2 linked regions of the Neodiprion lecontei genome follow. The protein of the gene in region 2 interacts with the protein of the main gene of each other region in a pairwise test. Links are inferred from orthologs where the notes say so. Each region holds a gene or a part of one and is shown on either strand. Other genes may lie near its edges.

The links. The genes of interacting proteins can lie anywhere in the genome.
Region 1: the proteins of proteasome subunit alpha type-2 (region 2) and vesicle-fusing ATPase 1 interact in binary tests that used the Caenorhabditis elegans proteins (3 or more experiments, as listed by UniProt). The link is inferred for Neodiprion lecontei from reciprocal best matches to the Caenorhabditis elegans genes pas-2 and nsf-1.

The regions. Positions count from the first base shown.
Region 1 is NC_060263.1:39,940,406-39,948,140, forward strand, and holds the start of vesicle-fusing ATPase 1, read left to right. Parts: upstream 1-1,696; 5' UTR 1,697-1,831; coding exon 1,832-1,855; intron 1,856-2,643; coding exon 2,644-2,732; intron 2,733-3,149; coding exon 3,150-3,374; intron 3,375-3,473; coding exon 3,474-4,101; intron 4,102-4,186; coding exon 4,187-4,411; intron 4,412-4,504; coding exon 4,505-4,804; intron 4,805-4,910; coding exon 4,911-5,201; intron 5,202-5,326; coding exon 5,327-5,511; intron 5,512-5,603; coding exon 5,604-5,762; intron 5,763-5,860; coding exon 5,861-5,978; 3' UTR 5,979-7,735. Other genes in the region: integrator complex subunit 1, read right to left, coding at 1-25, 204-366. UniProt on the Caenorhabditis elegans protein: Required for vesicle-mediated transport. Catalyzes the fusion of transport vesicles within the Golgi cisternae. Is also required for transport from the endoplasmic reticulum to the Golgi stack.
Region 2 is NC_060265.1:26,830,324-26,834,971, reverse strand, and holds proteasome subunit alpha type-2, read left to right. Parts: upstream 1-1,914; 5' UTR 1,915-2,009; coding exon 2,010-2,050; intron 2,051-2,464; coding exon 2,465-2,797; intron 2,798-3,638; coding exon 3,639-3,969; 3' UTR 3,970-4,121; downstream 4,122-4,648. Other genes in the region: interleukin enhancer-binding factor 2, read right to left, coding at 65-322, 495-801, 918-1,224, 1,636-1,637. UniProt on the Caenorhabditis elegans protein: The proteasome is a multicatalytic proteinase complex which is characterized by its ability to cleave peptides with Arg, Phe, Tyr, Leu, and Glu adjacent to the leaving group at neutral or slightly basic pH.

The sequences.
Region 1 (7,735 bases), on a different chromosome or scaffold from region 2:
GGAGCTTCCTTCTTACGATCTGAACCTGCACGAAAATACTCCAATGTAAACGATGCACCACTTGACTAGCTAATTTACGATCCAGAAGTCTTTGCAAATTCATTCCACCAATCTTATTTTAAAAACACAAGCTATCTTGAGCATTGAGAGTATTGAAGAAAGCTAAGAAGTGTAAATTTTAGTAGCACTGAAAAAAGTCGTACTTGAGGTAGAACTCGGGCCTGGCTTCCCATGGATCACACCAGGTCGCTTGGAATCTGTAGCTTCACCTCTGGAACTTTTTGATCCAAGAGCAAACAAGTCTGCGGGATGCTGAGCTATTTTGCTCTTGGCCCCACGGCCTGTTCCAGTCTTTACGCGATCCATTTGCTCCTACGTTTTATGCAACGCATAAACTATTTATGCTCTTGATCGATAGTTGTATCTAGATATAGATGCACATCTATTTTAATGAAATAAATTATATTAAACCATTCAATTATACAAATGTATATAAGACAATGTTTATGGCGCTTGTTAAGAATGTAAAATTGGTAAGAATGTAATGAGATTAAGCAGGAGAAACAGGAAAATAGAACACAATTTTGAAGCAGTTATAACTTTATGCAGCAAGGAACTGCATAAAATTTGAGAGTAATCAGAAACGTGATACACATATCATTAAATATGGTTTACCGAAGAACGGAGTTCGCAATCTGCGATTGAAATTCTCGCCGCATCTCAACCTAACCTATACGGAGAAAGAAAAGCCGTTTGACACATAATTTAACAGGAAGACAACGTGTTTAATTTTTTGAACGATGAAGAAGCTTCCATGCTACCACTGTTCTTCTCAATATATTTTCTAATTGGAGTTTTCACTTAAATATTACATCAAAATACTTTTGATTTTCCCTTCCTCATTTTTGGAGTTCAAATCACTCGAAAACAGTTGTAGCGTCTGCGGTGCGACTGGGTGCAACACAACTGAATTAAGCGAATTTCTTGACGACTGCAGTAGTGCAGTGTGTATGCAATGCTGTATGCGGGTGCATTTTCACAGGCAGTAAAACGCCGCGGTAGCGAGCAACGCAACGAAGCGAAAAACTTCCCGTGAAAATGTGTCGACAGGGGCAGCACAACGCCGCCCGACAAGCGCAGCCTTTAGTTGATCGGGTAGTTTATCAGTGGATCTCATTTCCTTTGATATTCGCTTGCAATTCATAAGTCCTATAATTCCGACCCGTAGTTCTGACGTGTTCAGAAGGATGTTATTGTTGCCGGGTATCACAAAAAAACGCGTAAGAGAAGGCTAATTGGCACCATCGGAACCACGGGTCGGAACTACGGAACTCACGAATTGCAAGCGAATATCAACACAAATGAGATTCACTGATAAACCATGTGATCAGTTCACGGCTGCGCTTGTCGGGCAGCGTTTTATTGCCGCTGCCGATACATTTTCACGGAAAGCTCTTCACTTTCTGTAGCAGCGTGGCGCTGCTAGCTGCGATGGCATTAATTTACTGCCCGTGAAAATGCACCCTGTAACGGGTTCTCATCATAAAAGTCTATGGTTCTCAGGCTCTTTCAGGCTCTTTGGCTCTATGAAACGAATGATATGAGAGAGCGCCAACACTCACGGGACGCAAGCGACTCGCGCAGGCTGTTCTCTCTAGTTACAGTTTTATGGTGGCCCAGCATGCTGACGTGATCACTGATTCTCCTTCTAGATACTCTCTTCAGTTCGAAGCTTGATCGCATTCAGATTGCTGGGAAGGGAAAAAAAAAGAGAACAGAACTGTCTGCATTGCGGGTTCTATAGAAGCAGGAGCCTAAGTTTATCGTATTTATGTCAAAAAGTATGCCGGGCATGGTAAGTTGTTGCTTAAGATCTGTTAATTACACGTTAAATCGCTGAATTACGAACACAAAGGAACATCATACTTGCGATCATAAATCCTACGAGCGTTTGCTGCACAAAATAACGCACGCCCCTTCGGCGCAACTGAAACGTCAATAATCCTGATTACAGTCGCAGCTTATGTCACGTTGAATTTATTGAGCTATTAGTTCATTCCCGGATAAATAATTTCTTCGAAAATCACCTTCGTATTTGAAGCCTGATTCCGTAACTATCGCGCGCGACAAAAAAGGTTTTCTGTTTAATCTTTTTTTCTGATTAGTAAAAATGACGTTTATCACATCTAATTCATCCTTTCCTCACCTGCAGTCACGCCTCGTGACGATATTTGCTTAAATATACTTACTAGTCGAATTTCAGTCAAATAAATGAACCATGTGCAATGCACCAAGTGACTCTTATATCGTTATACCATTTCCTCACCGCCAAATATTATTTATTTGAATCAGTTTGACAGTGTGTGACATGTATTTTAGAATATTTATAAATAGCTACTCAAACTGTCCGACCAGCTGGCATAATTTCTATTTAAAATTCCCAAACTTGTGGGTGTACATATAAAATCAATGTTCTGCGAATTCTGAACCCAATCAATTTTACTTTCATCATTAAATCTTATCTAATCTTTACCTAAGTTCACTGTCGCTCAGCGATTTCAACTTGAATTTTATAACCTTGGCCATAGCTTCTCGTTTATTTTGTCTGATTTATTGTTACTAACAATATTACATTTTTCATAGATAATGAAAGCGATCAAGTGTCCTACCGACGAGCTCAGCCTCTCCAACTGTGCTGTGATAAATCGTGATGATTTTCCAGATGATATAAAGTGAGTAGTTTGCCTACGATTTGCTTAAATTATGCTTGAATTAATTATTACAGCAATCAAAGAAAGCTGGTGTAGTAATAACAATGAAGTTTTAATTATTACTTAATTATTTTTTGAAAAATCAAGTTTGTTTGGAATTGTATTGAAAAAAACTTGATACATGGCAGTACAACTGAAGATCCAAAATTTTCTGAAACTCGTTTCACTTTCTTCATTTCCTCTGTTTTGCTGATGATCTATAAACCAAATAGTTTATTGTCAATCCCTCATTTCTAGCAATGGTTCTGTCATTAATCAGGATATTTGAATTGTCCGCAAACGAAGTACAATCTCACTACACCTTCTTTTTACCACAATTGTCAAATGTAATCTAATTCGGATTCGATTCGCAAGATTTAACAATGTGTATTGTCTCAGGCACATCGAAGTTACTACAGGTCCAAATCAGCATTTCGTTTTCACGGTAAAGACCCATCATGACATACCTCGTGGAACAGTCGGCTTCAGCTTGCCTCAACGTAAATGGGCAACACTGTCCCTCAATCAGGACATCGAAGTTCGTCCTTATCACTTTGACCCAACATCGAGCTCTGAATTCCTCTGCACAATCGTCGTCGAAGCCGACTTCCTGCAAAAGAAAACGTGAGTATTAGAAATAATGAAACTTACAGCTTTAGGTTTAACTTTTTTCAAAAGCAAACCATGGATAAATCAATGGAATTGAATGAAACTATTTTTCAGAACGACACTGGAGCCATATGACACGGAACTAATGGCGAAGGAATTTCTGCTGCAGTTCTCAGGCCAAGCATTTACAGTCGGGCAGCAGTTGGCATTCCAATTTCAAGATAAAAAGATGCTTGGACTTGTGATCAAAAGTTTGGAGGCAGCCGACATTGCAGCTATAAAATCAGGGCAGGACGCAAAGCCAAGAAAGACAAAAATGGGACGATGCCTAGGTGATACGATGATCCAATTTGAAAAAGCTGAGAATTCGAGCTTGAATTTAACTGGAAAAGCTAAGGGAAGAGTTGTTCGACAATCGATCATCAATCCTGACTGGGATTTCCAGAAAATGGGAATCGGTGGCTTGGACAAAGAGTTCAATGCCATATTCCGTCGAGCCTTTGCATCACGAGTATTTCCTCCTGAAGTCGTCGAGCAGCTTGGATGTAAGCACGTGAAAGGAATTCTTTTATACGGGCCGCCAGGTACCGGTAAAACTTTGATGGCTCGGCAGATAGGAACAATGTTAAACGCGAGGGAACCCAAGATCGTTAACGGGCCGCAGATCCTGGATAAATACGTTGGTGAGAGTGAAGCGAATATCCGAAGACTGTTCGCTGATGCTGAAGACGAAGAAAAACGGGTATGTTCCTCATATTTGTAACAATTTTTCAGGAAATCAATAGAAGATACAGGTTTGACCTCACGAATTCTACTTAATCTTTCAGCTGGGGCCAAACAGTGGACTGCACATAATAATCTTTGACGAAATCGATGCTATCTGCAAATCTCGTGGTAGCGTCGCTGGAAATACCGGCGTTCACGACACTGTTGTCAACCAGTTGCTTGCGAAGATTGATGGTGTGGAGCAGCTAAACAACATTCTTGTCATCGGGATGACGAACAGGAGAGACATGATTGACGAGGCTCTGTTGAGACCTGGCAGATTGGAGGTGAGAGGGATGCAAGTTGCTGATTGTAGAAGCGGACTTTTTAAGGTTCACTCTTCTTTCCATAAACCGTAAATTTTGTTTGACCATTATCAGGTTCAAATGGAAATTGGCTTGCCGAATGAACATGGTAGATATCAAATCGTGAACATTCACACGTCCAGAATGCGAGATTACAAGAAGATTGCACCTGATGTGGACCTGAAAGAACTGGCAACTCTGACAAAAAATTTTAGTGGTGCAGAATTGGAAGGTTTGGTAAGAGCTGCGCAGAGCACGGCTATGAACAGGCTAATCAAGGCGTCAAGCAAGGTAGAAGTCGATCCTGCAGCAATGGAGAAGCTCATGGTCGGCAGGAGCGATTTTCTTCACGCGTTGGAAAATGACATCAAACCTGTGAGTAAAAACGTTAAGAACATGCAATTTTGATTGTACTCTGTACACTGTTCAAATTATTGCCGCAAAAAATGGATTTTTTTGTATAGTTGAACAAAATTTACAGGCATTTGGTACTAGCGCTGATGCGTTGGATCATTTGTTAACACGTGGAATTATCAACTGGGGTCGGCCAGTTGCAGAGATACTTGCAGACGGTTCACTTTATATTCAGCAAGCTCGTGCTTCCGAAGGTTCTGGTCTCGTTTCCGTTCTATTGGAGGGACCGCCAAACAGTGGCAAGACTGCACTTGCTGCACGCATAGCGAAAAACTCCGACTTCCCATTCGTCAAAGTTTGCACACCGGAAGACATGGTGGGCTACACCGAATCTGCAAAGTGTCTGTCCATTCGAAAGGTGCATTTTTACTCACGATATTATCATGCATTTTGGATCCCAATCAAATTCAAATTGAAAGTATTGTGAGATGTCAAAATAAATAGTTGTTTGCAAAAAGTTGTACCTTTGCTATAAAATTTCAGATCTTCGACGACGCATATCGTTCACAACTCAGTTGTATTTTGGTCGACAACATCGAACGGCTTCTGGATTATGGTCCAATTGGTCCACGATACTCGAATTTAACTCTCCAAGCGCTGTTGGTGCTTCTAAAGAAGGAACCTCCGCGTGGTCGCAAGCTGCTCATCTTATGCACAACGAGTCGCAGGTTTGAAATCTGAAAAAACAAGCTGAACGAGTAGCAATAAATTGTAGGTGGTTAAATATAATCAATAATCTATCTAACATTTCAAATTGTAGAGGTGTAATGGAAGATATGGAGATGCTGTCGGCATTCAGCACTGTTCTTCATGTACCCAACTTGTCGACTTCTGATCATCTTCTGGCTGTATTGGAAGAGGCGGATCTTTTCTCAAAGGAAGAACTTTCGTCTCTGCACGCTAAACTCCAAGGTCATCGGTAAGATCAGATATATAAATTATATTGCACATGGTTATTTTCATATAAAAAATTTATACAATACAATAATGAAATTTTGTATCGATTCATCATTACAGCATATTCATCGGTATCAAGAAGTTGTTGGGTCTTATCGACATGGCAAGACAAACAGAAGCTAATTACAGGGTGCCAAAGTTCTTGTCGAAGTTAGAAGAGGAGGGTGGCCTAGAGTAGATGGGTAAACTTAGGCGAGAAATTTAAATTATTATTAGGCTAAGCAAATCATTATTATTGTAATTAGCGAATTTAGATGAAAACTCATGCTAATATGCTTTCTGTAGATTAGCACTTGGCACTAATCTATTAATAAAATCCGAATCTCGGAGACGTACGATATTTACTAATCACGGAATTCTCATCCTTCGTTAGTTCGTCTGTTCACAGAAATCTACATAATTAAAATGTAATATAGCATTCCAGAGAATTTCGTAATCTCTCACTGAGATGTATTTATTTATACCAATGTTAGCATGGGTGTTGCATAAGCTAGCGTAACGCATTGTTTGAAAAGTTTTATTAATTATTGATATGATGCCCCGTACTTTGTTGTTATCAATCGCATTTTGATTGATTAAATCGCGTATATCGATATAATCAATTTTTTGCGCTATTTGTTGTTACACGATGCCTCCAATGATGGAAAATATTGTAATTAGACTCGATTTTAGTCATAATGTTGAAATCGTTAGTCGGTTGTCAAACACCGAGGAAATCTTAATTGTTGAAAACTTACATTTTTTGTTCATTGTTTAACCATAACTAGAGCAAAGTATTAATTATAGCTCGTTCTTGCGCAGGACTTGAGACTAGGATATTTTTATGCATTGTCTCGCTGTTGTGTTTGACAACAACAAACGCGAGACAATATACTGAAGAGAATATATTATATTAATGATAATTATGTATTTAAATATATATATATGAAGCATATTATATAGATGAACGTTAGAAAAGACTTGATAATCTATGTAGTGTGAATTTCTGTAAAATACTGCCGTAACGCAGACTGCTTCTGTCATCAACTTTTAAACCGTAAATATCTTCGTCTTTGTAGGAATAAGTTATTCGAGTACTGTACGTTGTATTACATGCTTTTAACTACAACCTTCAAAGCGATCGTCCGAAATTGTTATCGATTCTTCGGTGTACCTTCCAGTAATAATTAGCCTAAACATAACTTGGTAGGAAAGTAACTTGAAAGAAACTTCTTCTTTAATATTATACACTTGTTGATTTTTGCTACTTCATTAAAAACTTTTGAAAAACTTGATATAAATTGATTTTCTCGACATTGTACGTATCTAATATCTCACACTTGAACAATACGTAATCTATGTAATTATTTTTTTGTACTTTACCTTATATTCTCGATGAATTGATACTTTGCTTATTTAAAAATTGTGTAATCGGTAAGAACGCATGTGCCTGAAATGTACGTACAGATCATGTATTTTCGAGTGAACAGAAAGCTTCTGTCAATTACAAGCAGAACTTTCGGCGTATAAGAAAGTGCAAAGCGAGTTTCTATACTATTTCAGTTTTGCCGTTTTCTTCCAATTCACGTATCCAATTGTTAACGGAAACAAATTTAATAGTATAGCATTGGGACTGAAGACATGAAATGATTCATTTAGCAACTTGTCTTTACGCCTGTCTCTGGAACAAAAGCAGTTTCGAATATTTTTGAAAGCTATAAATGTAGTTTTCACGTTCAAAACCACCTTGGTTACAGTAATTGAATTTGAGTCTAAGGTACGAAAAAGATAAAGTCTGTACAAAACTAATGATACAGACTTGCCAATATTCAATAACTTCCTTCTTACTATGCAGCCATAGTATTTTTTGAACTGATTATTTTACCGTATAATCATTCCAGATTTTTTAAATATTGAATATTTTTTTATAACCCATGTACGTACTTTGTTACATTT
Region 2 (4,648 bases):
TAATCAGTTAAAATTTAACTTTCAGTCGTTGCGGTCAACATTTTGTCGATTAGAAACAACTCACCGGCTGACCCAGGCAAAAATAACCCTGAAGCGAGGAGCTGGAGCACTCGCTTGTAGGCTTGATTTATCGGCAGTGCTTGTCTGCTGGGATTATTCATGATTGCATTATGTGCCAGAAGATCTAGCATCCATGGTGACAGGGGTTCGAAACCCTCGAATCTGGTCCTCAAGTCTCTCAGCAATCTGATCAGTACTTTGATACTCGAGTGATGGGCATTTTCTTCGAACCATCGAGAGTGTCTGATAGCTGCTAGGTGCCCTGTAAAAAAAAAAAAAAAATTGAAACATGTTGAAACAAGGTTGATACTATTTTGCGAATTGAAAATAAAACTTGAATAGGTTTTTAAGCTTTGGTAACTATCTGAATTTTTTCTTGTGAAATTTTATCAAAAAGTCAAACGATCCGGGTGCAACACAATGTCGGTAAATACCTTGGCAGATTTTAACGTCAAGATGCTGCTCAGATTCCAATTTACGTAAGTTTTGATGCAAAGTAGTGATGAGGACACGAACAGTGGCCTCATTAGTTGAAAGATCAAATCCACGTTCCGTTTGAGTCAGCTTAAACGCCTCTTTAGGATTGCCCGCCTTCAAGTCTGTGTTTACTTTCGTGCCCAGCGCTTCAACCGCTGTTTTTGTAGGTAATGTTTTGAGGATAACAACGATGTCTGCTACATTGTGACCCTTGATCATTGTCCCTTTTTTGAAGCTCCCCACTTGTCTGACTTCCTCGAGTTGCTGTAAATGAAACGAATCCATCAATGTTCCTTCTCATTTTCGTTTCACTCGAAAAAAAAAAGAAAAACATAGCTTTAACTGTATTTACAGCCATTTTAAATTTGCTGTATACCCACACAAGCTTCGAAGGTTCCAGGTGCAACGATTAGATTATCCAGAACTCCTTGTAGCTTCGTAACGAGGTTCAAGATGGAATTCTGCTCTTTCGCTGTCGGACACATATCTGAATTTTTCTTCAGAAGTGCCGTAGTAAAGTCAGCCTCATCCGCAGCTGCCTTGACACGAGGAAACGCAGCCTCGCAAAGGGTGTAATCAAAGGGATGTCTGGGCAGGAACTGTTTCCTAGGAAATCCCATTCCACGCCCCATTCCTCCTCGACCACCTCTTATCATGCCGCCGCGAGCACCTCGAACCATATTAAGCCTGCAATGTCAGAACAAATCGAATGCATCGTTTAATCATTTCTGGAGTCGATGCATAGTTCACAAGATATTAAAAATTGGTGGGACGTGATTTCTGGCTCGATTGATGCTTGACGGCAATACGAGAGATAGATGAAATAAAAGAAATGTGCTGATGTGCTCTTTTAAGGTTTAATTTCACAATCGTTCAGAGCTCGCACGATTCTAATCAGGGTAATGTTTGGACTACGTATTGGCCAATCGCGTGTTGAGCGAGAGAGAAACCAATTATAACGAAAATATACCTCTCGTTTTCTCTCTCACTCACTCCTCGGCTAGACTTTCTGTACACGCAAAGCTACCTCCAGTAGTATATGCTCTAAGGTGCGAATGAACATTGAACGAAGAACCTAACCAAGCATAGCAGACTTACATTGCTGGAAGATCCAGGATCACCCTGAAAACAAATCGTATTCCGGTATTTCGTTACTCGGAGTGAGATGAGCTGTTATTTATTCTTCTAATCGAGTATTTATCGCGGTATTTATTCAATAATAACTTACCCTGGATAATTTATTTGAGCAATAGCCGACCTTAGTCCTCAGCGTGTGCTTAGCCGTGCTTAGCCGGTTTAACGATCCTGATGGCGTTTCATCTGAAGTCAACCGCGAGAGGCGCGAGAGCGCGAGTGTGCCGCGATTCGTGTCGCCATCTTGGATTCTACGTTCGAGATCGTTAACTTGAAAGTCGAAACTCTCCAGTTTCAGCCGTTCGAGCTTCAGGTTAGTGTATTGTTGCAAGGTAATCATGGCTTCGGAGCGGTACAGTTTTTCGCTGACTACGTTCAGGTAAGAACAGGGAATTTAACGTATTTCCTGTATTCTTGCGACCTTCAATCAATCAGTCTAACCGTTTCTGGAAAAATATTCAAAATTTTATCTTAGCCAGCAGTTTGAAAGTCCGTCAACTCGGTCCTAACCTAAAAACCACGTCAAGAATCGAAAAAGTTTCGTGTCAAACGAGTCTGAAACTTTATTCTCACCTAAGCAATATCAAACTTGTTTCAAATTTCTGTCTCAATCTCCATGGAAACTTGGAGTGAGCTTTATTGCATCCCATGTTTTGATCAAAGAATCTCCACTTTTTGTCCTGTCATTGTTACTCTACATCGTTTAAGGCTCAAATTTGATTGCGTCGACTATAAAACCTCATTATTCTTCACCATCATTTCAAAATTTTACATTTTTATTTTATACTTACAGCCCGTCGGGCAAGCTGGTGCAGATCGAGTATGCATTGGCTGCAGTATCAGCTGGGGCGCCTTCGGTTGGCATCAAGGCATCCAACGGAGTTGTTCTTGCCACTGAAAACAAGCACAAATCGATACTCTATGACGAACACAGTGTTAACAAGGTTGAAATGGTTACCAAGCATATTGGGATGATATATAGTGGAATGGGGCCTGACTATCGTCTACTTGTGAAGCAAGCTCGCAAAATCGCCCAGCAGTACTTGCTAGTGTACCAGGAACCAATTCCAACTGCGCAACTCGTTCAACGAGTAGCGATGCTCATGCAGGAGTACACGCAGTCAGGGTAAGATCAGAGTTTTCATGATTTCATATAATTAGCCGAAACTTGACTATAATTTCCAGCTGATATTTACTATGACCTCATGCAATTTAAACGGTTTTGAATGAATTTTATATGCTGTTTTTGACTTGATGTTTGGTATCAACGTTATAAACCATGAAAAGTAGACATTACCAAATTTAGATACAAGGTTTTAGCAAGCAGATGTGTGAGAAAAGTATATTTATGGAAAGAATTGTTGAAATCTGAAAGAGTTTGTCGTAAAATGGTTCTCGTTGGAAATTTCCATAATAGATTCATTGTTTGACATTTGTCAATCGAAGGGCATAAGACAAGTCGAAGAAAATTGCTTCACAAAGATTTAAAAGGAACCACGTGTAATGATTTACGCGTTATCTATTTTCGAGTAGCACAGAATAGACGAGGTTCCGCTTCACTTTTATGATTAAGAACAACCGGAAAGTTTAGGTGAGGGATTTAAATGAACGAGTCTGGTGTGCTGATGTTGGAATATGCCTTATGATTTATCGAACATGTGTCCGATTCGAAAGGTAAAGTCAGAATATCGTATGAAAGACGGACCAGGATTGCATCGAGAAATGAATAAAACAAAGTATGGGTGTGTGCAAAAAGCGGGGTGTGTAGGATCAAGGTTCCGGGAATAAGAAGCGGTAATCGGGTGTGTACAGGGTGTGCAAGGCTTGTATTGTTTGGCAAAATGGAGCGACTATTAGGTAGGAGGGATGAAAGTCGATGTATGAGTGAAATAGAACTGTGAAATAGTGCGGAGTACGTAACACATGCATAGTCACATTTTGGAACTGATTAAATAATGTCTGTGCAGAGGTGTACGTCCGTTCGGTGTTTCTCTGCTGATCTGCGGCTGGGACAACGACAAGCCGTACCTGTTCCAGTGCGATCCGTCGGGTGCTTATTACGCCTGGAAGGCAACCGCGATGGGAAAGAATCACATCAACGGTAAAACATTCCTGGAGAAGAGATACAGCGAAGATCTGGAGCTCGACGACGCCGTTCATACCGCTATTCTGACTTTGAAGGAAGGATTTGAGGGGCAAATGACCGCGGACAATATTGAAGTCGGCATTTGTGACGCCAATGGATTCAGGAGACTCCATCCGTCCAATGTCAAGGACTACCTTGCGAACATCCCCTAATTTTTTATTCTATCTACGTTTACTTTTTTTTTTTGTTTGTATTGTAATATCCATTAATTGAGTCGGCAATACGAATGTGCTCGCGAATAAAAAAATTTCTTGAAATAAACAAAAAAAAAAAAATGAATAAAAAATCGCTAGTGGATTTCTTACGTATGCCTTTTATATTAATTTGATTGAACAGTGTATATATCTTTTAATGTTTTAGGCATCTTACCACGAAGCAGATTTGTTTGAAATGATGTGTTCTTCCTATTTTCAGCCTCTTCTTTTTTCAAACCGACGACACTCTGTTATCGAATTTGCAATTAACGAAGTTGAATAAATACAGTCAAATTTAGTGTAAAAATTTAAGTTGTGGCATTTCGCCACGCGTGTTAGACGATTGCTATCTCTGACGCTCTCGCGTTTAATTTCGCGTGAGATTAGGTAAAGACCTGTTGGTTTCGTTTCCGTGTTTCTTTTTCATTTTTTTATTCAGTCATTTAAATTCTGGAATACCTGATTCGTAAGTGGCGGTCAAAGAACTCGTGTGAACTGCGGCAAAAATTAACAAGGCAATGACGCTCTGCGTGTGCACTTCGCTGTTCAATATTGAATCGGAATATCTAAGAGCTCTCCTCGAAACGTAATATTCGCGAGATGAAGTTTCGCCGCGAGGGGAGTGTAAAGTTGACAA